Cricetulus griseus: one gene and its partners. The protein of the gene in region 3 purifies or fractionates together with the protein of the main gene of each other region. This does not show direct contact. Links are inferred from orthologs where the notes say so. Each region holds a gene or a part of one and is shown on either strand. Other genes may lie near its edges. The genes, in order: Psme3ip1, Gpatch8, Clk3 and Psme3.

What was found.
Region 1: the proteins of Clk3 (region 3) and Psme3ip1 purify together in Homo sapiens (affinity purification with mass spectrometry; 3 studies listed by BioGRID and IntAct, counting the BioPlex papers as one, with this or other methods). This does not show direct contact. The link is inferred for Cricetulus griseus from reciprocal best matches to the Homo sapiens genes CLK3 and PSME3IP1.
Region 2: the proteins of Clk3 (region 3) and Gpatch8 purify together in Homo sapiens (affinity purification with mass spectrometry; 3 studies listed by BioGRID and IntAct, counting the BioPlex papers as one, with this or other methods). This does not show direct contact. The link is inferred for Cricetulus griseus from reciprocal best matches to the Homo sapiens genes CLK3 and GPATCH8.
Region 4: the proteins of Clk3 (region 3) and Psme3 purify together in Homo sapiens (affinity purification with mass spectrometry; 5 studies listed by BioGRID and IntAct, counting the BioPlex papers as one, with this or other methods). This does not show direct contact. The link is inferred for Cricetulus griseus from reciprocal best matches to the Homo sapiens genes CLK3 and PSME3.

Annotation. Positions count from the first base shown.
Region 1 is NC_048596.1:170,802,891-170,809,392, forward strand, and holds the end of Psme3ip1 (PSME3-interacting protein), read right to left. Parts: intron 3,936-6,502; coding exon 3,718-3,935; 3' UTR 2,992-3,717; downstream 1-2,991. UniProt on the Homo sapiens protein: Promotes the association of the proteasome activator complex subunit PSME3 with the 20S proteasome and regulates its activity.
Region 2 is NC_048600.1:115,555,174-115,562,851, reverse strand, and holds the start of Gpatch8 (G patch domain-containing protein 8), read right to left. Parts: upstream 4,899-7,678; 5' UTR 4,746-4,898; coding exon 4,701-4,745; intron 1-4,700.
Region 3 is NC_048597.1:169,398,511-169,406,240, forward strand, and holds the start of Clk3 (dual specificity protein kinase CLK3), read right to left. Parts: upstream 4,225-7,730; 5' UTR 3,776-4,224; coding exon 3,326-3,775; exon of another isoform or gene 3,289-3,325; intron 1-3,288. UniProt on the Homo sapiens protein: Dual specificity kinase acting on both serine/threonine and tyrosine-containing substrates. Phosphorylates serine- and arginine-rich (SR) proteins of the spliceosomal complex.
Region 4 is NC_048600.1:114,356,807-114,364,535, reverse strand, and holds the start of Psme3 (proteasome activator complex subunit 3), read right to left. Parts: upstream 4,751-7,729; 5' UTR 4,324-4,750; coding exon 4,282-4,323; intron 3,578-4,281; coding exon 3,545-3,577; intron 3,433-3,544; coding exon 3,370-3,432; intron 3,146-3,369; coding exon 3,041-3,145; intron 1,646-3,040; coding exon 1,597-1,645; intron 1,179-1,596; coding exon 1,066-1,178; intron 878-1,065; coding exon 809-877; intron 697-808; coding exon 629-696; intron 533-628; coding exon 478-532; intron 365-477; coding exon 278-364; intron 1-277. UniProt on the Homo sapiens protein: Subunit of the 11S REG-gamma (also called PA28-gamma) proteasome regulator, a doughnut-shaped homoheptamer which associates with the proteasome. 11S REG-gamma activates the trypsin-like catalytic subunit of the proteasome but inhibits the chymotrypsin-like and postglutamyl-preferring (PGPH) subunits.

The DNA of each region.
Region 1 (6,502 bases), on a different chromosome or scaffold from region 3:
AACTATTCCTCTAGCAGGTAAGGGAACAATGTCAGCCCACGACAGAGTCCTTAAAGCGTGACTGTGCAACCTGTGACTACAAGTGTTGACAAGATTCCAGCCAAGCATCGAGCACCAAGAAGTACTTGCATTCCATGCTAACGTGTATAAAGTAGGTTGGCCATGCTAGGATGCCAGGAAGCCACCCAAGTCCAACCAAATGGTTGTGTTGCCACTGAGCTCAACTTGTTTTTCTGAAGGGGCCTAAGATGACAGCTGAGTCACATACCCACAGCAAGGACATTCGAGCCAAGGAACCCAGTGTGCCTAAGCAATTAACATTTAGCTAACTGGAGCTAACACAGAAAGAAGCTGGTAGAGCTGGCAACCAGCTCTGACCCTCCCAACATGTTATTGTTCGAGCTACAACTGGGGAATGCCAGTGCCATACGAACCTATTTATGCACTCTGGACACCCTGCCTAGGCAAGGGAGCCATCTAATATAGGCAATCAGTTATCCTGTAAGAAGCTGGTGTCATTCCTCTTTCCTAGGGGACAGGGCATGTCTGCCTGCATGCTGATCACTATGGCTTATCTTCACAGGGTGGAAAGAAGCTGGAACAGCAGGCCTGGTCCAGGCAAACCAAGCTTTTCCCTTAGGTGAGAAGGGGGAACCCAAAAGGGAAGAATTTAGGAGCTGGGAAGCAAAAGCAGAGGAAAAAAAAAAAAAGTAAGGATTAAAGGCACTTCTGTTAAGAGTGGGCAGGGAGGGGGTAGAGGTGGGGTCTTACCTCAGTCTGAGGAATAAACTTTCTACTGGGCCCTAAGACCTCTGGAAGTTGTACAGGTAGGAAGTCAGCTATCTGTCTAGGTCAGTCACATCAGCCTGCCTGCTGTTTAGAGGGAAAATAAGTGACTAGAATTCCAAGTCTCTTTTCTCCAAGTGGGCAGTAGGCCTCAGGTAGACAAATGGCAGGAAGTGACTGCAATAGGTCGTACAGTCGTACAGTCCCTTGCCTCCCAGATAGAGCTGGCAACTGAACACTGCTGGCTCTCTGCAAGTGGTCTCAGAGCTGTAAGAATTCTGCCATCTGAGACAATGTACAAGGCTTAGAGAAACAAACCCCAACCATCCTTTTTACTTTTTCTTTTGAGACAGGGTTTCCTCTGTGTAACCGCCCTGGCTGTCCTGGAACTCACTCTGTAGACCAGGCTGGCCTCAAACTCATGGAGCCTCCATCTGCCTCTGCCTCCTGAGTGCTGGGATTAAAGAGGTTATGTGCCACCACCACCCAGCTCCTTTACTTTCTCACTTAACTGTAAAATTCCAGTTACTCAGGCAGGAGTACATCTGGTGGGATTAGACCCTAGACCCTCCTCAGAGGTCAACACCTGCAGATGCTCAAGTCCTGGCTGCAAAATGTCCTGCTTGCACAGAACCTACTCATGCCTTCCTGTATACTTTCAGTCGTTCCTAGCTCACTTATTCCATTTACATCAACTTATGCCCCCTACAGCAATGTGATATCCTAGAAGTTGTTACATTGTCTTGTTTAGGGAATGAGAAAGGTATATCCATGTTGAGTACAGAGGAAAGGCTGACTGTGTCCTGAAGGTTAAAGTGGGGTTTCCTTCCATTTCTGCTCACTCTATTCTTCTGTGGTAGGAACTGTAGGTCTGTCCTGGCTGCTTCCCCTGTTGGTTGGCCTGCTTTGCACAGAACTGGTGTTTCAATTACAGGCCTCTACACCATTTGACACAATGAACTATGGTTAAAGGGCTACCAGTGTGACTCAAGCTTTCCTGAGACACCAAAAGCAGAGACCAGGCTAAAGTTGGGTATAGTGGCACTCATCAGTAATCCTAGGACTCAGGAAGCTGAAGCAAAAGGATAAGCTTGTAAGCCACCCTGGGGTACACAGCAGACTCTGTCAAGAGGAAAAGAAACTTGGGTCTGAAGACTGTTCAGCCCAATCAGCTGCAAATAACTGGCAAGCTAGAAGCCTGAGATGTGGCACAGAGCAAGAGCTTGCTCTAACAATTTCAAACCCCACAACCCTGTCACCTGTTTTCAAAATCAACAGAGGTACACTAGTGGCCTCTGAAAAATCAAGCTACATGAAACTGATGACTGATGTCTTGGTCTGCCTCCTGAAATGGTTCAGGGTTGCTTTGGATACAGGAACATGCTGCAGGAATGACAGCACAGTCACAGGAACAATGACACAAAGAGGCAGAAGGTGCTTGCAGTTTTACCTAAATGTCTTGTCAGGATGGGGCTGACACGCCTGCACTGCCAGTCAGACAAGATTAGCACAGGGAGGCTCTGCAAAGGCAAAGATGGCAGCACTTACAGGAATCCACGATGGGTGAAGGAAAACTACCATCTGCTGGTGGGCACCAGTGTCAATACACTACAAGGGGAAAGGAAGGGCTGGATGAGATCCAAGGCCCTCTCTACCCACGTTAAAACAGAGGAACTTCCTCTGCCTGCCAGTATGTCAGTGCCAACACATTCGGTGTGTGTCTCACTCGTCTCACACCCATAGGAAGGAAAAAAACAATGGCTACTGGAACCAGGAGTGAGAACTCAGGCTCATTCTGCAGCAGGAACACACAGACTGTCAGATAGATGTCTCCCAACTGGAGTCCTGCACACCTGCTCCCTCCCTCCTCCATGAGACAGAAACAGGCAAGACCTGCTGCTCACGGCCCAGGAGCTGTTGTCTGGGAAGTGCAGGGACAGTGTAGGTGTGAGTGTGGGTGTGGGTGGTGGATAAAGGAAAATACTGAGGCAACACCTTAGACTGGAAATTCCTTCACAGTCAAAAGCTACAACTCTATGTACAAACAGCAGTGCCTTGGAGGAGTAGAGTATAGCCATAACAGGCATGTCCCACTAGTTTGCAGTCTGAGGATTCCAGAAACTGCTAAGCATTAGTCATCTCTTTAACATAGCTATCAGCAGTTACAGCTTCTGGCTATGATTCAATAAATTTGCTTCTCTGATGTTTAGAATCTTAAACTATTTTTTTTATTTCAAAAACAAAATCAAAAACAATTTTCCATGGAGAAAAGGTGGGCAGAAGATGGACATGTCATTACCAGGTCCTTCCTACCTCCTCAGGCTTACCAGGTCCTTCCTACCTCCTCAGGCTGGGTGGAGGGAGGAGAACATGGAAGGGCATCACCTCAAGGGCTGTGGGTGGCACATAGCCTTGTGGGTATGGTTTGCAATCTTTAGTCACACAACATCCAGGAAGGGTTAATTCTAGGACAGTGCTCATGGCATCAGCTAGTCAGCCCCTTTCTCTCTGCCCACACACAACATGGTAGAACCAAGCAGCCCCTTCCCCTGTAACAGAGTATTGAGATAATGTCTGTCCTTGCTTCCTGTGCTACTGGGAAAGGAGAAAAACAAGAAAGCAACAAGGTCCAGTGAACTCTTGCAAGCCAGCTGGTACCTGTCCTTGCACAGGTACATTTCTGAGGGCATTTCTGAGACTTGCCTGCACCCTAACCCCTCATATCAGTGGGACAGGTTCAGTCATCTGCACTGGAGTTTACAGAAAAATCAAGCAGAGTTTGAGCCACAAGTGGACTGTGGCACATTTCTGAGTTAGGTTAAAATGTTACATGTGCACAGGAAGCAGATGAAGTTTTTTGAGGGAGATGATGTCGAGGCAGGACAGACATCTAACCCTCTGGGGAGATGCTCCCTGTGGTAATGTCAGGAGCTAGGGTGCTTCGAGGAAGGTGTTGGTTCGGAAGATGGAAGAGACTATCTTCCCTGTAGCATTGATGGTGCCTTCGCTGTCTGAACTGGACTCGGAGTCACTGCTCCCAGAGTAGGCACCCAAGCCAGGGAGGATGCCGATGCAGACAGCAGCAGACGGACAATGGATGGAGGGTCCGCTCAGAGAAGAGCTTCCAAGAGTCATGCAGGATGGAGCCTCTGCCAAAGGGAAGACAGGAAGTCAGTTATCACACTTCCTAATGCTGAAGGGTCATCCCCAGGTCCTGGACACCATGCCAAGGCTTTCTACAGAAAACAGCCCCAGTGCTGCAGAACAAACTCTATGAGTTACTGGAGGCTCTGGACATCTTCGTGTTACAGGTGAGGAAGCTGACAGAGAAGAGAAAACACAGAGTTGAGACTCAGAGTCTGCCCACTCTCTTGCCACCCACCAGTTCTGAGGAGTAACAAACCTCATAGAGTCACCTATCATAGTTTGATTCCCTGTCTTCACAAGTCATGATATTATAGCAAGTGTGAATCAAGTCTGATGTCTTCCTTAGCTACTGCTGTGGCCCTCAACTGGAGGCTAGATCAAGAGACCAACTGTGAGTGATACTAACAATTCTATGATGCCATACTTAGAGACCAGTGTATCGACTAGCAGAGATTATCCATACAGTTATGCTCTTTATGAGGCATTTTCCCATGATGGGGAGATGGGCACCTCAGAAACTCATTTATCACTTTCGCTTTTTAGTCCTTTTATGCTGAGAGCCACTGAAGGAAACATTTAAAACCATGTACACTGTCACAATATATCGGAGCTCTTCTTTCTAGGATACGCACAGGGATTCTGTTACTCCAATGACAAAGGCCTCAATCTACAAAATGCAGAACTTGATGATGAAAGGAAAAGTTAGGGGCATGGAGAGATAGCTGAGATTAAAGCATATACTGTGCTCTCGAAGAAGACCTGAGTTGAGTTCCCAGCACACACAGCCTGTTCACAACCTATAATTTGGGACCCAGAAGCCCTCTGATGGCCTCCATGGCATGGCATTCATGCATATACACCCAGACATATACGTATACACGTAATTAAAAACCAAAATCTCTTTTAAAAAAATTCAAACAAACCTAAATTGAGAATGGTACTTCATTCTTTCTTCCCTCTGAATGTTTCTAGCCTCATTTAGTCACTGTAACAACTTATATGTAGGTGTTCTCCCTGCTTACTGATGAGGGAAGTCAAATAAGTTGCTAAGTACACAGGTTAGAGTATAAAACACTAAAGTAAACCTTTGCCAGAAGATGCTGCACTAAAGTGATGCCAAAGCTCAACGGAGCAGAGAAGGTTCAGTTCCTAAGTCACCGCCTGGGGCTGACAAGGACATCCCTTTTGGTGTTTGCCTTCTATAAATCTACATCTCACTTGTGCAGATACCTCAAGAGAATGCAAGAGACACTGACTCCAAGGCTATATTGAGAAGAGCCATCAGCTGTTGGACACAGAATGCAGCTCAGGGTGTCTGTTCCTTTCCAGTAAGCAACAGAGAAGCTGCTGGGGATAAGCAAAGCTCAAACATCTCAGAAAGCACAAGAGCAGTGACTGGGAGGCAATGGCAATGCTTACAACAAATATCACAAAAGCTAGCAAGTTTAAAGATATAAAGAGCTTTTCTAATCTGTTAAAAAACAAACAAGCTGTGGGGGTACCGGGGAAACGAATTCAGTGGTAGGCGCTTTCATTTGTCTAGCATGTACTAGGGCTCTGAGTTTTTTGATCCCTAGCACTGCAAAAAAAAAAAAAAAAAAAAGAAAGGAAAAAAATCAAGAAGCCATCCATCAACAACCAAAAAGCACAAAGAGCAGCAGGATATAGCAGTACATACCTATCATCCCAACACTTGGGAGGCTGGGACAGGAAGGCTATTGCAAGTTCAACACCAGCCAGGGCTATAAATAATAATGATGATGGTGGTGATGACAATAAAAAAATAATGGGTACCCTGGGATATAATCAGTTAGTAGCATTCTTGTCTAGCATGGTATGAAGTCCTGGCTTTGATCCCCAACATTGCAAAAACTTGGCATGGCAATTGTGCTAGATCATTTCATGTCAACTTAACACAAACTAGAGTTACTTGGAAGGAGGGAAACCTCAACTGAGAAAATGCCTCCATAAGATCTGGCTATAGGGTAGTTTCTTAATTGGTTATTGATGGGGGAGGGTCCAACCCATTGTGGGTGGTGCCATCCTTGGGTTGGCGTTCCTGGGTTCTGTAAGAAAGCAGGCTGAGAGATTTGCGATGTGATCCTCCAGCAAGGGAGTTCGCCTGATAAGAGAAAATGAAAAGCTGTGGATTCCTTCCAGACTAATATGGTTTGATCAAGCAAGACCCCTTGAAGCAGTGACCCAACTGATCCTACATCCAAAACAGCTGAGAAGATACAGCCTTACAGACTACAAAAACAAGGACTTGGTCAGATTTCTGTGTTTTATCATGATCCCCATGTTTATATGGTGGATTACATTGATGGATTTTCGTATGGTGAGCCATCCTTGCATCCCTGGAATGAAGCCTACTTGATCATAGTGGATGATTTTTCTGATGTGTTCTTGGATTCGCCAATATTTTCAAGAACTTCAAATACAATATTGAAGAGATATGGAGAGAGTGGGCAACCTTGTCTTATACCTGATTTTAGAGAAATCACATTGAAAGACAAACATGAGCCTTCATCCAGTAGCTGATGGAAGCAGAAGTAGAGATCCACAGCTA
Region 2 (7,678 bases), on a different chromosome or scaffold from region 3:
CAAAAAACAAAACAAAACAAAAAATGTATCCTTAATGACTGTGAAATTTATCACAGTCAGAAGCCTGCCTAGAAGCCCTTGAAAGACACACATCTGAACAAAACAGCACAGAAAAACTGTCCAAAAGGTCACATTATTTGTGTGACCTATAAATCTACCTTCCATAATTGATGATTCAATTATACTGTGTAAAACATATGTGAGCAGCCCCTATCTTTAAAATAAACAAACACTCACAGATAATAAGTAAAACTGCTAGTAGAATAAAGGATCTTGAATACAGGTTCAGGAGCAACATTGGACAGCAAAATGGTTCAGCAAGTAAAGACACTTGCTATGCAAGCCTGATTACCCGAGTTCAATCCCAAAAGTCCCCAGGAAGGTGTAAGGCCCTAACTGACTCCATAAGGTAGTAAACTGACCTTATTTTCATACATATGCATTGTGGGACACACACACACACACACACACACACACACACACACACACACACACACCCAATAACTAAAAGAGTTATAAGCCAATCTAGGGCTTAGAGAGATGGTAGTAAGAACATATAGTACTCTTACAGAGGACCCAAATTTGGCTCCTAGCACTCATGTGAGGCAGCTCACAACTGCCTCTAACTCCACCTTCACAAGATCTGATGCTTTCTGCTGGCTTCCACAGGCCCTGCACTCACAAGTACAAACCCCTCAGATATTCACATATACCCATCATTTTTAAAAAACAAAAATCGGATGTGGGGTGGTTGTGGCGCATGCCTTTAATCCCAGAACTTGGTAGGCATCGGCAGGCAGGTGGATCTCTGTGAGTTCGAGGCCAGCCTGGTCTCCAGAGGGAGTGCCAGGACAGGCTCCAAAGTTACAAAGAGAAACCCTGTCTCAAAAAAACCAATAATAATAATAATAATAATAATAATAATAATAATAATAATAATTAGAAAAGCTAGTCTAATTTCAAGCCCTATGATGTAACAGAAGTATTAACCAAGTTACTGAACTGTCTATGCCACAATTATTTCATTTAAAAATGGGAATAATACCAGCTACTCCATAAGTATTATTGTGAAGGTAGAGATAATATACACAAAACCTAGAGAATAATGCTTTTTTTTCTTATTTCTTAACATTTTTCAATTTTATTTATGCATTTGTGTGTGGGAGCACACATGTGGAGCTGGTCAGAGTTAAACCTGTTGGAGTCAGTTTTCTCCTAGCATGTGGGTCCTGGGAATCAAATTCAGTCATCAGGCAAGCTTGGCAGAAAGTAACTTTTCTAGCTGACACATCTTGTTGGCACCTTATTCAAATTTTGGGACAGGGTCTCACATAATTCAGGCTGGCTTTAAACTAGCTTATGTAGTCAAAGATAATACTGAAGTCCTAAATTTTCCTACTTCTAACTTCAAAGCTCTGGGATTACAGGAGCACACTGTCAGAACTGGCTTTTCTTTTTTTTTTTTTAAAGACAGGGTCTTGTTATATGTATCAGGGTTGACCTCAAATTCACAATTTTCCTACTTCTGCCTCCCAAATGGTAGACATATAAATTTGCACTACTATGTTCAACTACTTAAAACCTTCAAAGGAGGCTACATTCAACTTGTGAGTAATCTAAGCTTGAAACATTACTCACTGAGCATCTTACTAGGTTTCATTCCCTCAATGGCTTTAAACCAAAGGACATTATTGACAGTCAATCAATGTTCTTTTATTAAAACACCCAGAGATAAATATATTGACTATTCTCATTTTATATTATTATTACTATTTTCACCATAGTACTAAGGATCAAATCCAGGGCCCTTCACATATTAGGCAAGTACTCTACCACTAAAACTTATTATACCCTGAGCCTTTAAGGTTTTGTGTTTTTTTGTTTGTTTGTTTTGCTTTGTTTTGTTTTGAGACAGGCTTTCTCTTTGTAGCCCTGGCTGTCCTGGAACTAGCTCTGTAGGCCAAGCTGGCCTCAAACTTAATATCCGCCTGCTTCTGCCCTTAAGTATTTTTAAAGGAATTTTTAAAAAAGAAATGATAGCATAATAATTTACTGGGAATGTAACTCTCCAGTTGAGAACCTGCTATATATACACACATTATACACTCATAGATAGATAGATACATACATACATACACACATACATACATACAGAATGCAATTTAAAAAAAAATAATTCGGGGGAGGCAGAGGCAGGTGATCTCTGTGTTTGAGGCCAGCCTAGTCTACAGAGCTAGTCCCAGGACAGCCAGTGCTGTTACAGAGAAACCCTGCTAGGAAAGAAAAAAAAAATTCCATTTCTGAATTGGTGATTTAATTCAGTGGGTAAAGTGTTTGCCTACTACCATGCACAAAATCCTGGGTGTGGAAGAGCTCACCTGTAAGCCCAGCACTGCTGAGACAGGGAATTCACAAGTCAAGGTCATCCATGGCTATATTGCAGATTTAAGGCTTTGTGAGATACATGAGACCTGGTCTCAAAAAAAAAAAAAAAAAAAAAAAAAAAAAAAAAAAAACTATTTCCAATATTCAATTTAGGAAAAATGCTAGGACATTCAAAATTTTAAGTGGATTATGTCAGAGCAAATGCAGAAAATACAGTTTAAAATGGCATGTAGTAATGTCAAGGATCTTCAAGGCATCTATTTTTGATTTTTAAAAAGTTTTTATTGTATTAACTTCATGGGGAGCATCAGAGGACAACTTTCAGGATCTGATTGGGTTCTTTCCTTCCACTTCTAGATCCCAAGACTCTAACTCAGGGCGTGAGACTTGTTGGTAAATGCCTTAAGTTCCTGAACCACCACCATAGCTGCTTATTATTTAATTTCTTCTTCCTCTTCCTTTTTCAACCACCTAAAATCAGATTTTTGTGAGTTTTTAAATTAAAATTTTTAAATTTATTATTATCTTGTGTGTATATTATGTGAGGGTCAGAAGATATCTTCCTGGAATGGGTCTCTCCTACCTTCTAGGGACCAAACTGAGGGTGTCAGGCCTATGGGACAAGGGTTTTTAACCCACTGGGCCATCTAACTGGCCCATAAAATCAGATTGTATATGAACTCTACTAAAGCATCAAAACGTGTTCCTATTAGTTTCTAAGTGACAGCACTCAAATTCTGATACCCTGTTTTCAAAATCTTCATTCAAAATCCTCTTTGAGCCTGATGAAATAGTTGAGGGCCACTTTTGCTCAAAACTGTCTACCCTGTCTGGTTTCAATTTTATTAGGTCACCTTGAAATTCTCAACTCTGAAAAGCATTCAAAGGTTTTCATCATCCGTATGTATATCTCCTTAAATAATTTTAAGTTAATAAAATTAATAAAAGCTCATGCACTTTGTACATGCTTTATTGGGCTTGCTATTCAAAAAAACAAAAACAAAAAACAAAACACCTTCTCGGGTATCAAATGTCCAAACTGAACTGCCTCAAACTTCTGTGGACCTTCGACACATTCTTAAAAACGCCTTGAGATGCTGTTTGGTGCTGCAGCCTATACAGCAGGCACATGATCACACTCGGGTTTTCAGCAACCCCCAAATTCCTTACTGCTGCAAAATTCCCAGTGTTCTACGCAGAAGACTGTTAGACAGTTTTTAAAAAACTGCTAAATTGTTTTGTCTATCTACCAACCCAATCATCTCCAAGAATTCAAACCCTTCAAACTGCCTTCTGACACACAGCTACCGTAGTCCTGTGTTGCTTGGAGTAAGCTCAAATGGATAAAAACTTGAGTTCCGAGGCTCATCCCTTGACCCAAATTGCTGTTGCCAGGAGATGCGGTAGTAATGCAGTGATTTGCATCTCTGAGGAGGTATTTTACGTAGAAATAGCCAAAGGCTACTAAATCCTTTATAATTCCAATTATTTCTGTAGTAACAATTTCAACAGTTAAAAGATGGATCATTCTAATTCGGCCTTGCCCCCACCCCGCAACGCCTGCCATCGTAGGGACATCTTTCCAGATCAACACTTGCAAACGAAGAAAAATGAAGGTTTAGGCACGAGTCACCACCTCACGCTTGGGAAGGCCATTATTATACCCCTTACAAATCTTGGTAGGATTCGAAGTTAAGTTTACACCAGTCCACAGTCCTAATACCTTACTGTTTCCCAAGCCCAATTAACGGCCTGAAAACAACAGCAGTATTTATGCCCAGAGAAAGCTCAATGCTCGCCTAAACAAAAAGGCGTCTGATAAGTAAGGGTACCCTTTTCCAGGGCGAGGACAAGGTTACAGAGACGATAAAGGGTTTGTTTATCACAATGAGGGAGGAGGAGAAAAGATTCCCAATGTGATCGGGGCGAGCAAAATCCAAGGAAGGGTTCGGACGCCCTGGCCTGAAAACCACTGGCCCAAGCCTTCCCAACCCCAGCCCTGTCCCCTGAGGGCCAGCCCTGCGCCTGCACAGGCCCCCGGGCCAAGCCAAGCGCAGCCCCAACAGAGCAGCCCGCTGGGGAGCCAGGAGCCAAAGAGGAGGGAGCCGGCGTCTCGGGGGCGAAGCGGAGGGGATGAAGCCGGAGACGCGGCCTCATCTCAGGCTGGGAGGCCCCTGGAGAAATGAGAGGCAGAAAAGAGAACCGGTTTGCAAGGCGGAGCAGAGCGCGGGAGGACAGAGAGCCGAGGCGGGAAGGCGGAGGCCCCGCGCTCGCGGCGAGCCCTCCGGGGGGTCCTCGGAGACGCCCGTGTTTACCTGAAAGTCTCTGTCCTCGTTGAAGCGGGAGAAGCGGTCCGCCATTTTGCCGCCTTCACTCCTCCTCAGGACGACGCTCTCCGGTTCGCTCCTTCCCTCCCGCGACACCCGCCCCCTCCCTGCTTCCACGCCTCCTCCCACGCCCACCGGGCGCGCGCAGCTGGAGGGGGGGAAGGTTAGGAGGGAGGGAGGGAGGGGGGAGCAAGAATGCGTCCCGACGGGAATTCCGAGGGCGCAGGCGCTTTGCGGGCCCGGAGGCGGAACCTTCGCGCACCACCCGGTTTCGCGCACGGCCCGGAGCGACCCTCGCGGGGCCGCGCATGCGCACTTGCTCCAGAGCGCCACAAGCGCTTCCGGAGGGAAAGATCAGCAGGGCAGGGCTTGCTCGCTTAATGGTGTTTAGTAGTCTTTCTTCTGCTCTTGTTTACGATCGAGCCCATCCTGTATTGGCCAAATAATAGTATACAGCAGCACGAGATATGATTTTTAGAGCCAGAGTACTTTTAAGTGTTTTTATTGGTTTTGGATAAGGGTTTCCTGTAGCCCAGGCTGGACTCCATCCAACTCTCCATGTAGCAGAGGCTCGACTCCCAAGTCCAAGGAGAGTATTTTTTAAATTGACACATAATAGGATTACTTGAGAGGCAGGAAAAAAAAAATCTCTTCTCATAGGGCTTCCATTCCAGGCGGGAAGCCAGATCGCCAGTAAAATGACTTAATAGTTGTAAATATTAGCAAGTGTCAAAGACTAAAACTAGGTAAAAGCCTCAACTGAGGCTGAAGGAGAAGGATCAGAAGTTCAAACTCATCCTTGGCTACACAGGGAGTTCAAAGCCAGCTTGGAATGCAAAAAGACCTTGCCTCGGCAAAATCTAGTGAAACTGCAGGGGGGGGGCACTTTAATGGAAAGGACACCCTGTCTCAAAGTTACCTATAAATCATAACAAGGGATCCACAACCTTGGAAAAACGATAACACGGGTCTGCAAAGAGCTTGACTTTTTTTTTTTTCTTATTTTCCCCTCCATATATGTTTGAGGCTCATGTATGAGTTGTTGGATCCCTGGAGACTAGAGTTATAGACAGTTAGGAACCACTATGTGGTTATTCTGTAAAGGGAAAAGCCGCTTTTACCTGCATAACCACCACTCCAGCTCCTGCTTTCTTAATGTTTTTATGGAGGGGGTATTTGATTTTATTAGACTTATTCATTTTACTTCATGTATGACTGTTTTCTCTGAAAGTATGTATGTGTACCTTGTATGCGCTTGGTGTCTAAGGAAGTCAAAAGAGGGCATCAGATTCCCTGGCACTGGAATTACAGACAGTTGTGAACTACCATATGGGTGCTGGGAATTGAACCTTGATCTTGTGTAAAAGCAAGTGCTCTCAACAGCTGAGTCATCTCTCCAGTCTTCCTGCCACCTTATTTTTTTAAGACAAAGTGTCTCAGTAAGCCTTGAGCTCTCCCTGGTCTGGTTAGCTGGCCTCAAGGGCCTGCACCTGGTACCAGGGAAGGTGCAGGTGTGGGCAGAGATGAACACACAAGGACTAGTTACAAGCCAGTCTAGGGCGCAGTTGGATCCTAAATAATTTTCTCCATTCAGACAGCTGCTGGAGGCTTTCTCTAGAGATGCTAACCAAACAGATACTGAACCTTAACATGCCAGCAGTAACCAAGAAGGAGATAATTTGTTGAAATGAGAGGATCTGTGCAAAAAAACTCAGCTGTTTTAGTCGCTGTTCTGTTGCTGGAAAGAGACACCATGACCAAGGCAACTTTTAGAAAGCATTTAATTGGGGGGCTCATGTACAGCTTCAAAAGTTTAGTCCATTATCATCAGAGCAGGGAACATGACAGTATGCAGATAGGCCCTGGTGCAGTAGCTGAGAGCTACATCCTGATCCACAGCCAGAGAGAGAGACAGAGAAAGAGAAGTTGAGAGATTGAATTGACACTGGACCTGGCCATGGCATGGGCTTTTGAAACCTCAAAGCCACCCTCAGTGACACACTCCCTCTCACAAGGCCACACCTCCTAGTCCTTCTAATCCTTTCAGATAACTCCACTGGATGGAAACTAAGCATTCAAATATATGAGCCTATGGGGAGGGACCATTTTATTCAAACCACTACACCAATACCCCAGCAAATCATCTAAGTCTTCTCCCTGAGAAAATGGCTTACAGAAGCGAGGTCTTCATGGGATGGAGAGGGCATCACCCCCAACATAAAGATCATGTCCTGCCCAAATACCCCATGGAAAAGTCCATTATTCTGGAAACCCCATCCACACTGAATATTTGAAGACTAAGCAAGAAATCTTGGAGGTTGGAGAGATGGCTCAGCAGGTCAGGACATTTACTGATCGTGCAGAGGAACCCAGGTTTGGTTCCCAGCAATCCCGTGGTCTCTCAGCACCCACATGGCCTGTAACCCTGGTTCCAGGGGATTTGATGCCTTCTTCTGACCTCCACAGGCACTTCAAACATGTGCTACACATTGTGAAACATTATTCCTCAGGAGACATGAATAAGCATCTGCTTATCCCAGATAAGGAAACGAGAACTGACTAAAGTACAGATACCGCCAAAGTCCAACTTAGTGAGTGAATGAGTTTCATTGGGATTACTATAGGAATATGGGTGACAGGTTACTTATAGAAGGAGAAATGACTCAAACGGAGCTGCATCATCAAAGTCCACCCCTGAATGGGTGGCAGCTCACAAGAACTGGGGGCCTGGAGCACATTGTACAAGCTCAGCTGGTCCCTGCTTCTTCCAAGTGGTTTAGCTTGTCTGAGACTCTTCTAGGTAGCTGATCCAGTCTTAGCATATTCCTCATCAGTCCTTACTACTTGTATATGCTTGGGGAGGGAGAGGTCTAGTGAATCTCATCAACTTCAGGAACTTCCTGAAGTTTTGAGTTGTTTATTCCCTGAGCTAAAAGAGTTTCCCTGCAGGATTGAAGGTTTTACCT
Region 3 (7,730 bases):
TAGGCCACAAGAAAGAGAAAGCCCTGCTCAACACACAGCTCACTGCTTCCAGCCACAGGGCTGCCTGGTGCAGCCAGGTGCTCCTGAAGAAGAGGCCCATTGTTCTATTTAGGGGCAACCCCCCTACCCCCGGGTTTATGAAGTAAAGAAGAACTCTGAGGTCACAGTAACAGAACAGCAGACAATGGGTGACTCCATCCTTTTGCCAGTGAATAAACAAACAGGTGCCTCCCCAGCATGGCCTAGGGGCCTGAACACTTGAACTGGATAAGTCAGGGCCCAGATACAGAAGTAGATCTCTTAGGGGATTCTGAGCACTGTCACAGAGATGCTAGGACAGGGGGAAAGAAGAGCTTTGCTCAATGTCTTCCTGCCTATGGAATCCTATAACCTAAATGTTCTAGGAGCCTGAAACTAATGAACTGGTGGCATGGAACCAATGTACTTAGTGGTTTCAGAAACTGCAAGCTGCCTTGCTAAAGCATTGAACTGGACTCAACTCGAAGTTGTGAGAAGACACAGTAGAAAGGAGAACACTAAACCTTGAGCAAAGACACAATGTCTCATCAACATTCCCTACCTTCTACCAAGGTGTAGCCAAGTGGGCATAGGCCCAGAGGGCCTGCCCAGCCCTTGCTGGCCCATCCAGTCTCAGCCCAGGAAGGTGCCACAATCCTCAGAGAATCTAAGCTGCTTGCCTGAGGCACATTTTAGAGGCCCTCAGACCAACTAGAGTCCCATACCAGGTGTTTCAACTTTCAGCAACAGCATCATTGCCATCGGGTCTAGCTCCCCTGACCATCACTGCTTCGTGAGACTATCTCTGGAGGTGCCTAGAAGACGTGGCTGTAGGTCTACACGTGGAAGCAGAAGCAGGCTTTCGATTCACTACCCCTAGCCACTGAGGACTTATATCCAGTACAGGAGACTCCCAAGCTGGATCAGCAACCAGCTGAGGAAGATGGCTACATGAGGATGGTACCATTTTCACCCATATCCTGCCCCTTCACATTCTCCTCACCAGATGGCCAGGCAAGAGACCTTTGCTTGTTTGCTTTCCAAGCCAGCAATTGCTCACACCCAACCTCTAGTCTTGCACAGTCCCAGGCTTGCCTGGCCAAGCACCTTTTAAACAAATCCATCAAGGCTGCTTCACCTCACCAACACAATTCAAAAATGAAACAGCTACTTGTGTATGAGCAGGACAGGGAGGCCAATTCATCTAAACCACTGGGAGTCTCTGGGGACCCTAAGAAAGGCACTGCCTTCTATCTCCCCACTAGCAACCCTCCATCTGAAAAGTCTGGGCCACCCAGAAATCCTCAGAGATAAACACTACATAAGATCTGTAGATTTGTTGTTTTCACAATCATCTAAATAATCATTTTGTTTTTGTTTTTTCCCAATTATCTTACAGCAGGTGCTCAAGCTATGGCCTGAAAGCAGTATCTCATGTCTCACTAACTGACCCAAAAGACATCCTACTGACCAGAGCACATATCTTCCCTCAAGACAAGTGTGGTCCTGCCCATCCTCACCAGGCAGAAAAAGCACCCTATCTGGAGGATGTGGTGATATGGTCTAACATACACGTGGCCAAAGTTTTCCTTCTGAGACCTAGAAATCTTTCATGACCACGTGTCTACTTGAGAGGAAAGTCACAGCTTCAGAGTCCAATGACAACCTAGTCCACGGCACTACCACGTCAATGTTTGCCTTTAGACAAGTTATTAACCACTCAGCTTCAGCCTCCTCTTGAAACAAGGAAACAATAATCTCTTAAAGGTTCTAGAAGAATTAAATATGTCTGCCCTATAAAGTCAAAAGCCTAGAAAAGGTTTGGGCCATAATAAGTACTAAATATAGCCTTTCATTAACCCTAAGAAGGTTCCAGGTAACACTCAGGGTTATGATGAATGCCTTAATTTATAATCCTTTCCAAGGGACCCGGTAGGAAGTTTCGGCAGAAAACCCTGAACTCAATCCCAGTGCTGCCACTACTGGCCCTGTGGCCTTATTTATACAAATCACTTTAGACCTCTGTTGCCATGCCAGGAAAATGAAGATAACACCTGGCAAAGAAGGCCAAGTATGACGGCCATTAAGTACCACACACAGGGTAGTAGTAATGGAGATCACCTCCCTTGCAACTCATCCTGAACAGGTGATATATGGGAAATACCAGGTGTCCCACGTCATCATCCCAGCCAGGGCTTTTGGGCTCATTTCTCATAAATTCCCTCTGATTTTCTGAGACCTCAGCAGAAAGAGAGGCTTTTTAAAACTAAAGAGCCACAATCATGCTTTAGGAGGTTCTGCTCTGTACAATGAAGAAAAAAAGCAATGTGACCAACGAAACCAAGCTAAGGATGCCAGCTTTTTCTCTGAGCACAGGCCTAGCTGGCTTCTCATTTGCTGCTCCTGGCTAGAGAACCGGGCTGACAAGAAGAGCAGCCAGCCAGGTCAGCGGCTGCCCTCCCGGATTCCTGCCACCCAAGCGACCCATGGTTATTTTTGGCTGGCAGTGCCCCACCACTGCAACCTCAAACCTGCCACCTCGCAAGCTGCGGCTGCCACCGGGCAAAACGCTCCTCCTTTTCAAGGGCACGGAGGAGGGAAGCTGGAAGGCCGCCAACTCCGCCTTGACGGGGGCCAGACTCAAGCAATTCCCACCCAAGCATCAGGGCACCCGCACCCGGAACTAAAGCATAGAGGCTCCCGGCCGGACCGAGGAGCAGCCTGGACATTTGTACTCCCGGCTCGGTCTGGCCCACTCTCCGGGATGGAGCGGTTCCATCATAACAAAACACCGAGGGGCCGGAGGCCGGCACTCGAGTCCCTTCCTTCCGCCCGGATCCCAGGGGTCTCAGAGCCCCGTTCCCCGTAACCGCCAAGGGAAGACCCGGCGGCCAGAGGGAAGGCCAGCCTGGGCCAGAATCAAACTCCAGGCGGCGCGCGGAGGAGGTCTGCGGGCTAAGCCTCGAGCCCGGGGCAGGGAAAGCCTTTCCAGGTTAGCCTAGGTCGGACGCGACCCCAGCCGGCTGGCCCGCGTGGGGCCCAATGTGGAACCTCCCAGCCGCCTCGGAGGCCGCTAGGACTCCGCCTCCAACACCGCGGGATCCAGAAAAGGGGTCTACAGTGACCGCCCTCCGGGAGAGAAGCGGCGGGTCAGGGGTGAGAGGTCGGGACCGCGGCCTGACGTGGGCCGAAGAGGGGAAAAAGGTACACGCCGAGACCCGACCGGGAGCTGAGGTACCCGTACCAGCTTGCCCGTCGCCACCGACTCACCCAAGCCGCCCGGCCGCGGGCTCGGGCCCACACTCACCGTCTCCCAGGCTCCGGCTGCGGCTAGGCCCCACTCCCCACTCCGAGCGCCTCTTCCGCTTCCGGCTCCGGCCTCCGCCCGTGGCAGCACCGCCCCTTCGCGTGACGCAGCCGTCGGCGGCCCGGGCTCGACCCGGCCCAGAGGCCTGGCCGCTCTAGCCCCCAACTCGCAGGCTCTGGGGGACCGACCTGCCCCTCTGGGGTCGGGGTCGCCGCGGTGGAGGTCTCTTCCGGGAGGTCCCGGGAGCATCCTCGGGCCGCGACCCGCCCCTCGCCGTGCTGTAGTGCACGTAGGCCCCCGAGGCCGCATCGGTGCTCGGCCGCCACCGCGGCCGGAGCTCGGCTCTGGGCCGAAAGAAGGAACCCACCGGACTGCCAGGCTGGGTCCACTCCGCCGCCGCGGCCCGGCCGTGCTCGCCAGCCTCTTCCTGCGCGCGGAGAGGACTGGCATTGTTCTCCCGGGGCCCGGGAGGGCGCTAGAGACGAAAGCGGACGGTGCGCCCGGGCTGAGGAAGGCGGGCGCGACTCCGCTTGCGCGCAAGAAGCAAGCGACACATTCTGCTCTCGGCTTGTGCGGGGTTTTTGAAAGTCTTGGCGCCACGCCCCAGCTCTCTCGAGCTTGCGGAGCAGTCTCCGGGAAGATGCCCGCGAGCCTCGGCGGTGGGGTCTGAGGAGAGTACGTCCCCTTCTCTTGAACACCTCAGAGCGTCTTGCTGCCAATCAGCACGGTTGCTGGGCTAGGAAACCCGCGCCACACAAAGCCCCGCGCCGTGCCTCGCTCCAGCTCTGCCACTGAGTTACTCGGCTGTCCTTTTTGCTGCGGCCTCGGGCGTGACCCCTCCCACCTACTGCCCCACGCTTTTGTCGTGGCAGGATCATGAGGTCCTATTTTTCCAGAAAGCAGGTCGAGGTCCTTTGGGAAGGCCTCGCTTTGACAGCGTCTCCGCCCCCGCGCGTCGCGCAGCCAAGCGGGCGGGTGCGGCACTTAATTGCCCCACGCCACGCGAGGCCCGAGAGGCTGGAGCAGCCGGCCAGGGCGGGGCATCCCTTCCCTTAAGGATCTCACTGAATCGGGGGGTGGCGGGGGACAACCAGGGTTTCCCATGTGCCCTGCTCCCCATGCTGGATGAGATGCACGCCCACCAGGCCCTGTCGCCACCGAGCCTCTCTCCCATGCTGAAAGTGTCTCTCTAGAGACCTTAGTCTCTGTCTCTGACGTAGTGGCCGGGCATCTTCATCACCACCAAAGTAAACAGTAGCTGAGTAAAAAAAGCTGGGTGATTAAAATTGCTAACGTAACCTCAAGCTGACCCCATAGTCACCTTCTAACCACGAAGAAATTCAACAGCAGCTTCAGTTGCTGCTTCCTCTAGTCCCACCCCAGAAGCCAAAGATACTGAAAAATCCAGGTGTCAGAAGATGCAGATCCCGCCTGAAGCTCAGGGCCACACTGACAGAATTTCATACATTCACAGGTTTCTGTGGTGTCATCACCCCCACACACACCAAAATTGCCCACCCACGTTTCCACGGTTGTGGGAAACCATTATCCTCCAGTTTAATGCCGATATCCTCAAAAAGCTCCTGTCTCCTGCCCTATCCCAAGCATCAGGAATGGTGTATTTTCATGCCTGCTCTCCTAACATGGAAAATCCAGGCGACCTGCCGGAAGCTCCCCACTCCCACCCCGGCTCTAGAAAGCACCCCTCTCGACTTAAACAGGAGCTGTCTCCTAGCTGTGTCAACTCCAGAGGCTGCAGCTTGGCCTTCCTCTATGAGGGTCTCCCGTTAGAGCTCTGTTTTCTTGTCTCTCTTCATGAAAGGACTCACATCTATCAGAAGGAAAGAACTGGTCCTGGAGTGAAGCTGTGTTGATTTACTCCTCCCTACATAAATACACTCCGCAGCATCTCTCCAGTACTCTGATGAGAGGGAACTCAGACCAAGCCATCCCCCGAGGGAGGAGGCTCGATGCTCACCCACTGCCCCGGGCACCACACTTTTCCCAGCCTGTGCCCTTTGCCCATAAGTCTTTTCTGTGTGGCTGGTGTGCGGCTCCCTGGCACCAAGGGGATGCCCCTGTCTGCTTTTATTTAACCCCCACAGCTCCTCTTGTTTCTCTCCACCTTATTTTTTTACCCCCTAGGTTCTTGAGCCCCAGCTCTCTCTCATCTAGCTGCCCTTGCATTCCCCTCCACTGTATCCAGCTCTGTCCTGCCTGGAATGAATTGATACAAATTTGAGCCTCAGCCCCAAGGTCACCTCCCTGGAAAGCATCCTGAGAGAGGTCAGATTCCCCTTTCTGTGCTGTGATGCCACCCTCCCTTGGTTCCTCACACCAAACAGCCTGGCTTGGAAGGCCATGAACCTCTTAAAACAAGTTCAGCACAGGCCTGCTGAATGGGCAGCCTAACTGTGGAGGCCTCTCTTCTACTTGGACCCAGTTAGAGTGGAGTTGTGTGTGGGTGCCATGCCAGGGTATGAGATTAGTCCTCATGGTCTGTTTTAGAGTGGCCTTGAGTGGTGCTGATGTAGGAAGACAACCAAGAAGGGCTGTGGGACTCCAAGGAGGGAGTCCACGGGCTTAGAGGGGCAGGGGCCTGCTGGAAGGTTGTACCAACCTAAGAGGGACAAAGTTCGAGGAATATATAGCGTGTCAGAGCCATGAAAGGTGGGGTAGGAGAGGGGCCTGGTCACCATCTGCTCAAATGGAGATATCCACTAGGCCCTTCCTAAGCTGGAGTTGTAGACACTGGAACAGGAGGGCCTCAGTGTCTTCCTACAGGATTCCTGTGAGTGGATGAAATCCCAGGAGGACTTGACCCAGTCCTTCCTTATAGGTGAAGAAGCCAATGGTGAGAAACGGTGGTACCAGCTGAACTAGCCCTCACCAAAGTGGTGGGCATGGAGGGCAGGAGCTGAAGGCGTCTGGCTCCCCATATCATAGAGTAGTAGCTTGCAAATGTCCACCTGAGCCTACAGTTTCCAGACTCTGTCCTTGGAGGAGCTCGCCATGCAGTGGCAGGGTTGGGGAAAGTGGGCTCTTGAGTCAGACAACACTGCAAATCCCAGGCTTCCTGGGTTTGCCAGCATGACCAGAGACACACATCATCCTGTTTTCAGCTTCAGTTCCCCTCCTAACCTGGCTCTTGAGAGGATCAAAGTCTTTTTGGTTGAGGAAGGTTACCCATAGCTAAGGGAAGCCTAGAACTGAAAACTAGATGGGTTGAGGCTATGTTTATGTGGAGTGTGAATCAAATCATTGAGGGACCCTGGACCAGGGGTGCAGGGTGGGATGGACCCCAGTTCTGCATCTCAAATCAGCCAGGACTGCTCCATAGTCCTGCAGGGACTTATTGCATAGTGTCTATGGATCACATACCCAGCCCTGCCCGCTGTCCCTGGGATTCCTGCCACCTGTGGCCACTATTCTGTGACCACCCACTGAGCCCAACTGAAGGGCTGAGGGAACCACCAGCCTCCTGGAATCCAGGGCACAGCAGGCCCCTCTCTTCCTGGCAGGTGCTCAGCAGAGTCTCAAAGTGGGACAAGAGGCAGTCAAAGGGGCTTTGGGTCAGGTTGGCAGAGAATAGGCAGCAGTGGACCAAGCTGGACCAGCCACCTGTGACTGGTGCCAGAGGCCCTGTTGGAACAAGCCCAAATTCTGCAGAAGTGTGAGCACAAAGTGTGAGCAGCTTTACTGGAGTTAAGCCAGGCCTGCTGTGAGCTAATGCTCACAGAAAATGAGTCTCCCATCTTCTCACCAGGTCCTCCTTGCCCACTGCTCTCCACCTGGGCTGGTGACCCTCAGGACCCAGGTGACAACCATTTTCTTAGCCTCCCTGCTCTCTAGCATTCCATAACAGAGTCCCCAGTCCTCTTATTGCTATCCTGAGCTCTGGAGCCATCTTCAGATACAAAGAAGAATGTGTGTGTGTGTGTGTGTGTGTGTGTGTGTGTGTGTGTGTGTGTGTGTAGGACCAGACAGGGGTGCAGAGTGCATGTCTGAAGCTCTGCAGTAAGAGATAATAGCTGAGCAGCCCACCTTTCTTCCCCACCCTGAGCTGTGAGCCACACTCCATGTGTACAAGCTCATCAGCTGGGCCCCTGGCTAGGAATCTGCTTTATCAGAGGCTGCAGACTATCCTGTGTGTGGGGTTGGGAGGATGAGCCAGCACTCCTCAGCTGCTCTGCAAGTCTGCTGCCTTCAGCATTCTTCCCAGAAGGTGGAATGCTTTCTGGCCTACCAGGAGCAGGAGAGGCACCTGCTGCAGGGACAACAGGAGTAAAAAGAGACAGAGGCCAGAAAATAAGTGAGGGTGGAGACTGAGAGGAGATGGGAGTGGGAGAGGACAGGCAGACAGCTCCTACTGCAAACACTGGTGGGAAAGGCACAGCAGCATTTG
Region 4 (7,729 bases), on a different chromosome or scaffold from region 3:
ACCAGCCATATGTTGTATACCACCCCCACCTATACAGATCAGAAACACCACACTAGACTCCTCAGTAAGTTCATGTTCTCCACACAGTGCTGATGAACTACTATTTATATGTCCCCAGCCAGCCTCAAAGTCTGGATCCTGTCCTGAGCAGTTGGGGTTATAGGCAGAGGCTACCCTGGCTATTCTACTCATTTTATTCTGAACCCCAGTTTTTAAGAAATTAGCACAGAACTAAGAGGAGCCAGGACAGCTACGTGCAGGGAGTGATGTTACTCACATACTGATTCCTCAGTTCTGAGATGATGAGACGGAGGCTGATGTATTCTTTCTCATCAATCTCTGTGACCGTGCGGCGATAGTCCTCCTGTATGGGAAGAGGGGAGGCTAGTCTTCAAGGCCCAAAGCCCACAGACAGCTTGTTCCTAAGCATCCTACCTACCCTTCCACCCCACCTCAGACTCCCAAACCCTTACTTACCACATGGGGATATTTAGCTATTTTAGAAACCAATTTGGCTCTTGTAATATAATATCTGGAAAGAGGAAAAAAGAGAAGCAGCTGAAGGGGGCCCTGAACATGTCTCCCATTTCACCAACCCAATTCCTGGACACAGCCCAAACGGCTGTACCTAGAAATCTGGTCCAGATAAGATGCAGCTTCACTCTCGACAGTTCTTAGTTCTGCAACTGTTTCCTCCTATGGGGAAGAACAGGTGAGTCACATTACTTCCACATCACTCTACAGTAGCACCAAAGAAAACAGTCAAAGCAGGGGAAGCAGCTCCCAGTTTGCAATATGAACACATTACCTGAATAGACACCCCGAAGTTGTTCCCATCTTCTATTCTGGGAATCAAGAGCTGTACCCACATTTTGACCTAGAGTGTAAGATGACAAAATACATGTAGAAGGACCTTGGTCTTTCCTACTAAAGTCACGAATTACATGACGCTTGTTGCCGGAAACAAAGGAATCAAGAGACTTAGCCTGCCACGCCCCACCCATCATTCCATAGTTCAAGTGGAGCTATTAAGGTCCAGTCATAGGTCACTAGCCTCTGCCTCACCGTATTACATTTCTCGATCAGCAGCCGAATCTCAGGTTTTACTTTCTCAATAATGTCCACCAGCTGCTGGTTGCTTTTCAGCATCCCATTGGGCATCACAAACACCTTGGTTCCTGGAAGATACATCAAGTTCACGTGTTCAGGGCAGTGGAAAAGTGAAGGCACCCTCCAGCTTTTCCTCTTCCCTAGACATAGAAGATGTATTCATCTTTGCCTTTTATCTTTCAAAAGCTAAATGAGTCCACGGCCCCTTAGTGAATCAGGCAACTACTCCTGCATGGGGCAAATGACACAGAGCATGGGACTCCTATGACAGTTGTGAGGTGTGGCTTCTGCCTCCCAGCACTCTTGATGGCATCTACACTAAGTCAGACCCCCCTGGTGTACTAGGAGACTAAGTAATGACCACTGTAGGAAGATGCCAAGTGTTGGTCCTGGGAAATTAAATCAGACCTCACTTCTTGTGCTGGTGAAAACCCGAACCATCCTGCTTTGCAGGGCTGTCAGCTTAGACTAGGTGGCAGCTCTTACCTTGGAAGGCCTCTTCACATTCATCCAATCTACGCTTCTTGTAAGTGGGCTAAGGATATAAAGAAGCAGGAATTAGCTTCCATTCAACACCACATACCCATTACAAGATACTATACAAGCAAACTTAATTAATTCCTTCCTGGACCCCATAGGTTATCTTAATATATATATCTTTCAATACAGGTTCTTGCCACAAACTTGCACTCTACTTGGAAAGGTCAAATTTACAACAAATAGAACACATTAAAAGAGCAGCTGAAGAGGCCAGTGAAGTTCTACAGATAGTAAGTAAGCACTTACTACATAGCTTAACAAATGAAGTTTGATTCCTGGGACCAACACGGCAAAAGGAAAGCCTTGGTATGCTCCCTATCCACACAATAAATAGTGTTTGTGTTTTGAAACAGTAGAAAAGCAGGGAAAATTCTATTTTTAAAAAGAGGAAGAAGAAAGCATTCAAGGCAGGTAGAGAATAATTGAGGGGGTATGTACAAATTTGTTGGTTCTAAAACAAAGACAATATTTCATCAACAAACTCAGAACAGTACCTTCTGTATGCTAGGAAATGTTGGGACTAAGGCAATTAAGATGGTTCCTGCCTTAAATTGCAGATTTATTTTGGAAGAAGGATCCCAGTATGAGTTCCAACTTCAATTCATTACGTATCCCAGGCTGGTCTTGAACTCACAATTCTCCTTCCTCAGACAAGCTGAATGCTAAGCCACCACACTCAGCCTAATTAAATTAAGATAGTTCTGAAAGCTAATAATATAAATCAGTGGTACAGCATTTATACACCATGCACAAGACCCTAGGCTTGATCTCTAAGGCAGAAAAAAAAAATCACAGGAATTTAAGACAAAACTATAACATCACTGGTGTTACAACACAATGTACATGGAATACAGTATAGGCATTAGCTGCACAGTGGCACACACCTTTCACCCCAGCGTTTACACAGCAGATCTCAATGAGTTTGACGCTAACCTAGTCTAGTCTACATAGGGAGTTCCAGGTTAGCCAGGGCTACATAGTCAGACCCCTGCCTCAAAGACAAAGCAAAGTTCAGGTGCTAAAGAGACAGTAAAGACAGGGACTGCAGCAAGAATAGCTTCTCTTCCCACTGCAAGACACAATACACTGAATAAAAAGTCTTATTCAGAAGCCTGGGGAAAGTCAGGTAGCTGGGAAAAAACAAAACACCACCATCAACAACAAAAATATAGCTAGTATAGACCTAATTAAACTCGGGGCTAGCACTGCAGCACTAACATACTCACCTTGCTAAAAATGAAACTAAAGGTCCAAAAAAGTAGTATTCTGGAGTCACCATACCTAAGACAGAACCCCAGATCCCACAAGCAAAGCCCACATCCTCTGTACATCCCGAGGCTTACCAAGAAATAAAATACTAAAAACACAAACATAAATGCAAGACACTCACACCATCCAGTCCATCGTGGCTATTGGTGAGGAGAATGGGGTCAGGGACTGGGAGATTCATGTCTGAGTGGATCTGAGTTAGGTCATGGATATTTAGGATTGGTTCCTGAAAGAGAGGCATTCACCCCAAAACAGTATTAGTGTAAGTTTAAAAAAACCAACCAACAAACAAAAAAAAAAAAAAAAAAAAAACAAGAGAGAGAAAAGTATTTCTTGTGAAAGAAAAGAAACAAGTGCCTTATAGTACACAAGACAACAGAATCATCACACCATCTGCCCCATTTGTCTCCAAGACAAAGGTAATTTAAAGAAATAAAAAATGTCTCTCACCTTCAAAAAACTATCAAGTTCTAATAACTTCTTTGGGAAAAAATTTGCCACCAAGTCTTCTGCCTAGACAGAGAAAATACACAAGAATTAATAAACATGGGGTAGTCACTCCCTACGGATTTTGGGAAACCCCCAGCTATTAGCCAACACCTTTTTTCTCCTTTACAACACTCACCTCACTTGTGATCCGCTCCCTGAAAGAATCAACCTAAAATCAACAAAGAGAGCAATTCAGAACCTGGTGACACAAGGGCAAGAATGGGGAACCCCAAATCCAGCTGCCTTGCCCTCACCTTGGAATTATAATGGGAAGGTGAAAGGCCCCCAGACTGCAAATACTTTATTTTTTTGAGGATCCATTTCTCCATCTCAGGAGAGGAATGTCGGAGCTGGAGGGCAGCACCTGTCAGTCTCCCCTTTCTCTTATCCCCTTCTACCCCCCTCCCCTAGTCCCCTCCCTCCCTCCCTCCGGTTGTCTGAAGCCCTCTGAATTTGATAAGCAGACAGATGTCAAACTGGAAGAGGTGAGCTCACAAACGTGCCAACTCCCACCTAGACCTGGCCTTTCATACGCAGTAAGCCAGCCTCCAAAGGCAGGGTCAGTGGCAGCGTCCGGGGGCGGGGACATGGCTGGGCCGGGGGACTTCCACCTGTCACTACCCTAAAGCACTGAGTTTAACACGTGTCCGAAGAGGAGAACCTGGTGCGCTCCATCACCAGAAGCAGGGCAGAAAGCCACCCTACATCGTCTTTTCCAATGCCGTCTCCAGGCATGGGGGGGCTGGGTGAGCCGAGCGGAAGCTCAGAGCTGGTGTCCCCAGGGAGACAAAGACGACCATGGGGAGTGGGGAGAAGGTCCGACTGCTGGGGGTTCGAATGGAGGGATGAGGAGGCCCGGAGCTGTGCCGCTACCTTGAGCTTCACTTCCTGATCCACCTTCAGCAACGAGGCCATGGCCGGGCAGGGCCGTGTCCGCTCCGCTGGGTGCTGGAGGTGCTGTGGACTCCGGGGAGGGCGCCGGAGGGGCCTGAGGAATCTCCACTGCCCTCGGGACCCGGCCGCCCTCGCTGGCTTGCTCACCGCTTGCTCGTTCCCTCCCTCCGTGCCGGCCGGCCACCCGCCCGCCTGCCGCCTGCTGCCTGCTAGCTCTCTCGCTCGCCCTCCCGGCTTTCGCCGCTCACGCCGGAAGTTGCGTCACAGCCAGTCGCCGGGACTCCGGCGCGGATTAGCACGTGCCCCGCGCAGCCGCTCTGCTGCTGGGCTCTACAGCTTCCTGATGGGGCTCTTGGAGCTCCGGCCCATGTGCCTTGTGGTGGTAAACCTGGGGCAGGGATGCTGAGACCCAGGCTTCCCGGAGGCTCCAGAGTGATGTGTCCTGTTGTTCCGGAACTCGACTTCACTGTGGGACCTCGTGTGCCGCTGCTTCTTAGAAGAGTAGCCGTCGCGCCCTAGTGACGTCGACTGAAGAAGCCCGCGGCCCCGTTCCCTTGTTGAGCGTTCCGGGCTGACTCCCTGACTCCCGCCTCGCATCCCTTTTTACCTCCGGCTACTACCAAACACAAGACAACTTCCCCTGCACCGTTCTTTCCTGCACGCAGACTCAGATACCAGACAAATCCACGCCCAGAAGATGGTTGTGGTTTATCTAAAGCAACACATTGTTTCCCGCGACTTCCCTAGACTCAAACCTTCCCAGTTCTAGGATAAAACTGTTACCATTTTCCAATGGAAGTCTGAGGCAGCATCTCTTCGTTCACCAAATTATTCTCTTAGTATGGGTTATTCAATGCAATAAAGTGGAGATCCCAGAACAGTGTTACACAGAGACTATAAATGTGTGTTGTGTGTTTCACGTATGTGGGTTAGGCTTTTTTTTAAATTTTATTTTTTTTTTTTTTATGTATACAACATTCTGCTTCCATGTATATCTGCACACCAGAAGAGGGCACCAGATCCCATAATGGATGGTTGTGAGCCACCATGTGGTTGCTGGGAATTGAACTCGGGACCTCTGAAAGAGCAGTCAGTGCTCTTAACCTCCAAGCCATCTCTCCAGCCCTAGTCTTTATTTATTTATTTATTTATTTATTTATTTATTTTTAGTTTTTCGAGACAGGGTTTCTCTGTGTAGCTTTGGAGCCTATCCTGGCACTTGCTCTGGAGACCAGGTTGGCCTCGAGCTCACAGAGATCCTCCTGCCTCTGCCTCCCGAGTGGTGTGAGCCACCAACGCCCGGCCTTCCTTCCTTCCTTCCTTCCTTCCTTCCTTCCTTCCTTCCTTCCTTCCTTCCTTCTTAAGATTTTTTTAAATTATGTACACACCATTCTGCATCCATGTATATCTGCACACCAGAAGAGAGCACCAGATCTCATAAAGGATGGTTGTGAGCCACCATGTGGTTGCTGGGAATTGAACTCAGGTCCTCTGGAAGAGCAACCAGTGCTCTTAACCTCTGAGCCATCTCTCCAGCCCCCCAATCTTTTTTTTTTTTTAATTAGCTTTAGCCATGTTTAATCTAATGTATATTACAATGTGTCAGCCCCTTGTGTCTATGGATTTCTAATTCGCTGGGTTCAAACAACTGAGTGGAAAATGGGTGACACATTGGGTATTAAGGCGTTAACGAAGTAAAGCAATCTATTAGGCACACATGCTGTAAGAACCAACTGTCTTCTGACCTTTGTGCACATATGAGCAAGCAAGCAAGCACACGCACGCACACACACACACACGCACACACACACACACACACACACACACACACACACGCGCGCGCGCGCGCACACACACGCGCACACACACATACACGCGCACACACACACACACACACACTAACAAAACAACCACAGAAGCTATGACGCATTGTAATACTAAATAGGAACATGTGGCCATTGGCTATCCTATGGAACAAAACAAGTCTGGAAAACTAGAAGGTTTCTGGTTGTCTGTCATTAATGTTTCATATTAGGAAAAACACCGAAAGTAAAGCGGCAATACAACTGCAAATTTTGATAATCATGACAAAGTAAAGGTAAGTAGACAACAGCAGGAATCTATTTTAGATAATCCTTTCCCATTCAAGTGCAAGTAAATACCCATCCCACCACCCACCTTGCACACTCTTTTCTAGCGGTTCACCTTTCTGTTGACATATCTCTGGTAACTTTCCATGTTACTGTTACTTGACGTCAAGAATTCTCTCCCAAATTAACTTCATCCTATTTTAGATATGTCCTATTTTAGATATGCTTATCGAAATAATGGCTTTGTTCCCAAGTGATGACTTTGTCTTCAGATAGGCTGTGAGAAGATACACTTTCCCCCACTCCCTTCCCAAAAGTTTAGTATAGTGATCCATCAATTAAATCATGTCCACAAATCTCAAGCAAATGTGTGATACCACCTGAGCTCTCATTCTCCACTAGCCCTTTCCATTCACCTCCATTTTATGGTGTTGGATCATTTGTCATTGAAAAGACAGAAGCAAATGAGACATTCCTTATCACCTGGCCTGCTTAGATTTTTTTAAAGATTTATTTGTTTAGTATGTATGTATGTATGTATGTATGTATGTATGTATGTATGTATGTATCCCTGCAGGCCAGAAAAGGGCACCAGATCTCATTACAGATGGTTGTGAGACACCCTGTGGTTGCTGGGAATTGAACTCAGGACCTCTGGAAGAACAGCCTCTTAACCTCTGAGCCATCTCTCCAGCCCTAGTTTTTTTTTTTTTTTTCCATGTTTTTGTTATCTTGACACAAATCAAGGCCATCTATAAAGAGGGAACTTCAATTGAGGAAATGTCTCCATTAGATTCACACACACACACACACACACACACACACACACACACACACACACACACACACACACACACACACAGGATTTCTTCGCATAACAATCCTGGCTTTCTTGGAACTCACTCTGTAGACCAGGCTGGCCTCGAACTCACAGAGATCTGCCTGCCTCTGCCTCCCAAGTGCTGGGATTAAAGGCAGGCGCCACCACCTCCCAGCTCTGGGGCACTTTCTTGAATGATGATTGATATTGAAAGTCCCAGCCTGCTGTGGGCAGTGCCACCCCTGAGCAGGTAATTCTGGGGTATATAAGAAAACAAACTGAGCAAGCCAGGAGGAACAATCCACAAGTAACATTCCTCTATGGTTTCTGCTATAGTTCCCACCTCCAAGCTCCTACCTAACTTCCTTCATGTTGTACTGAAAGATGAAATTAACCCTTTCCTCCCCTAGTTGCTTTTGTTCATGCTTTTGACTTCAGCAATAGAAAGCAAACTAAGACATCACCTTACCACCAAATTACCAACTTACCAATCCTTTCTGCCCCTCTCCATCTTCTC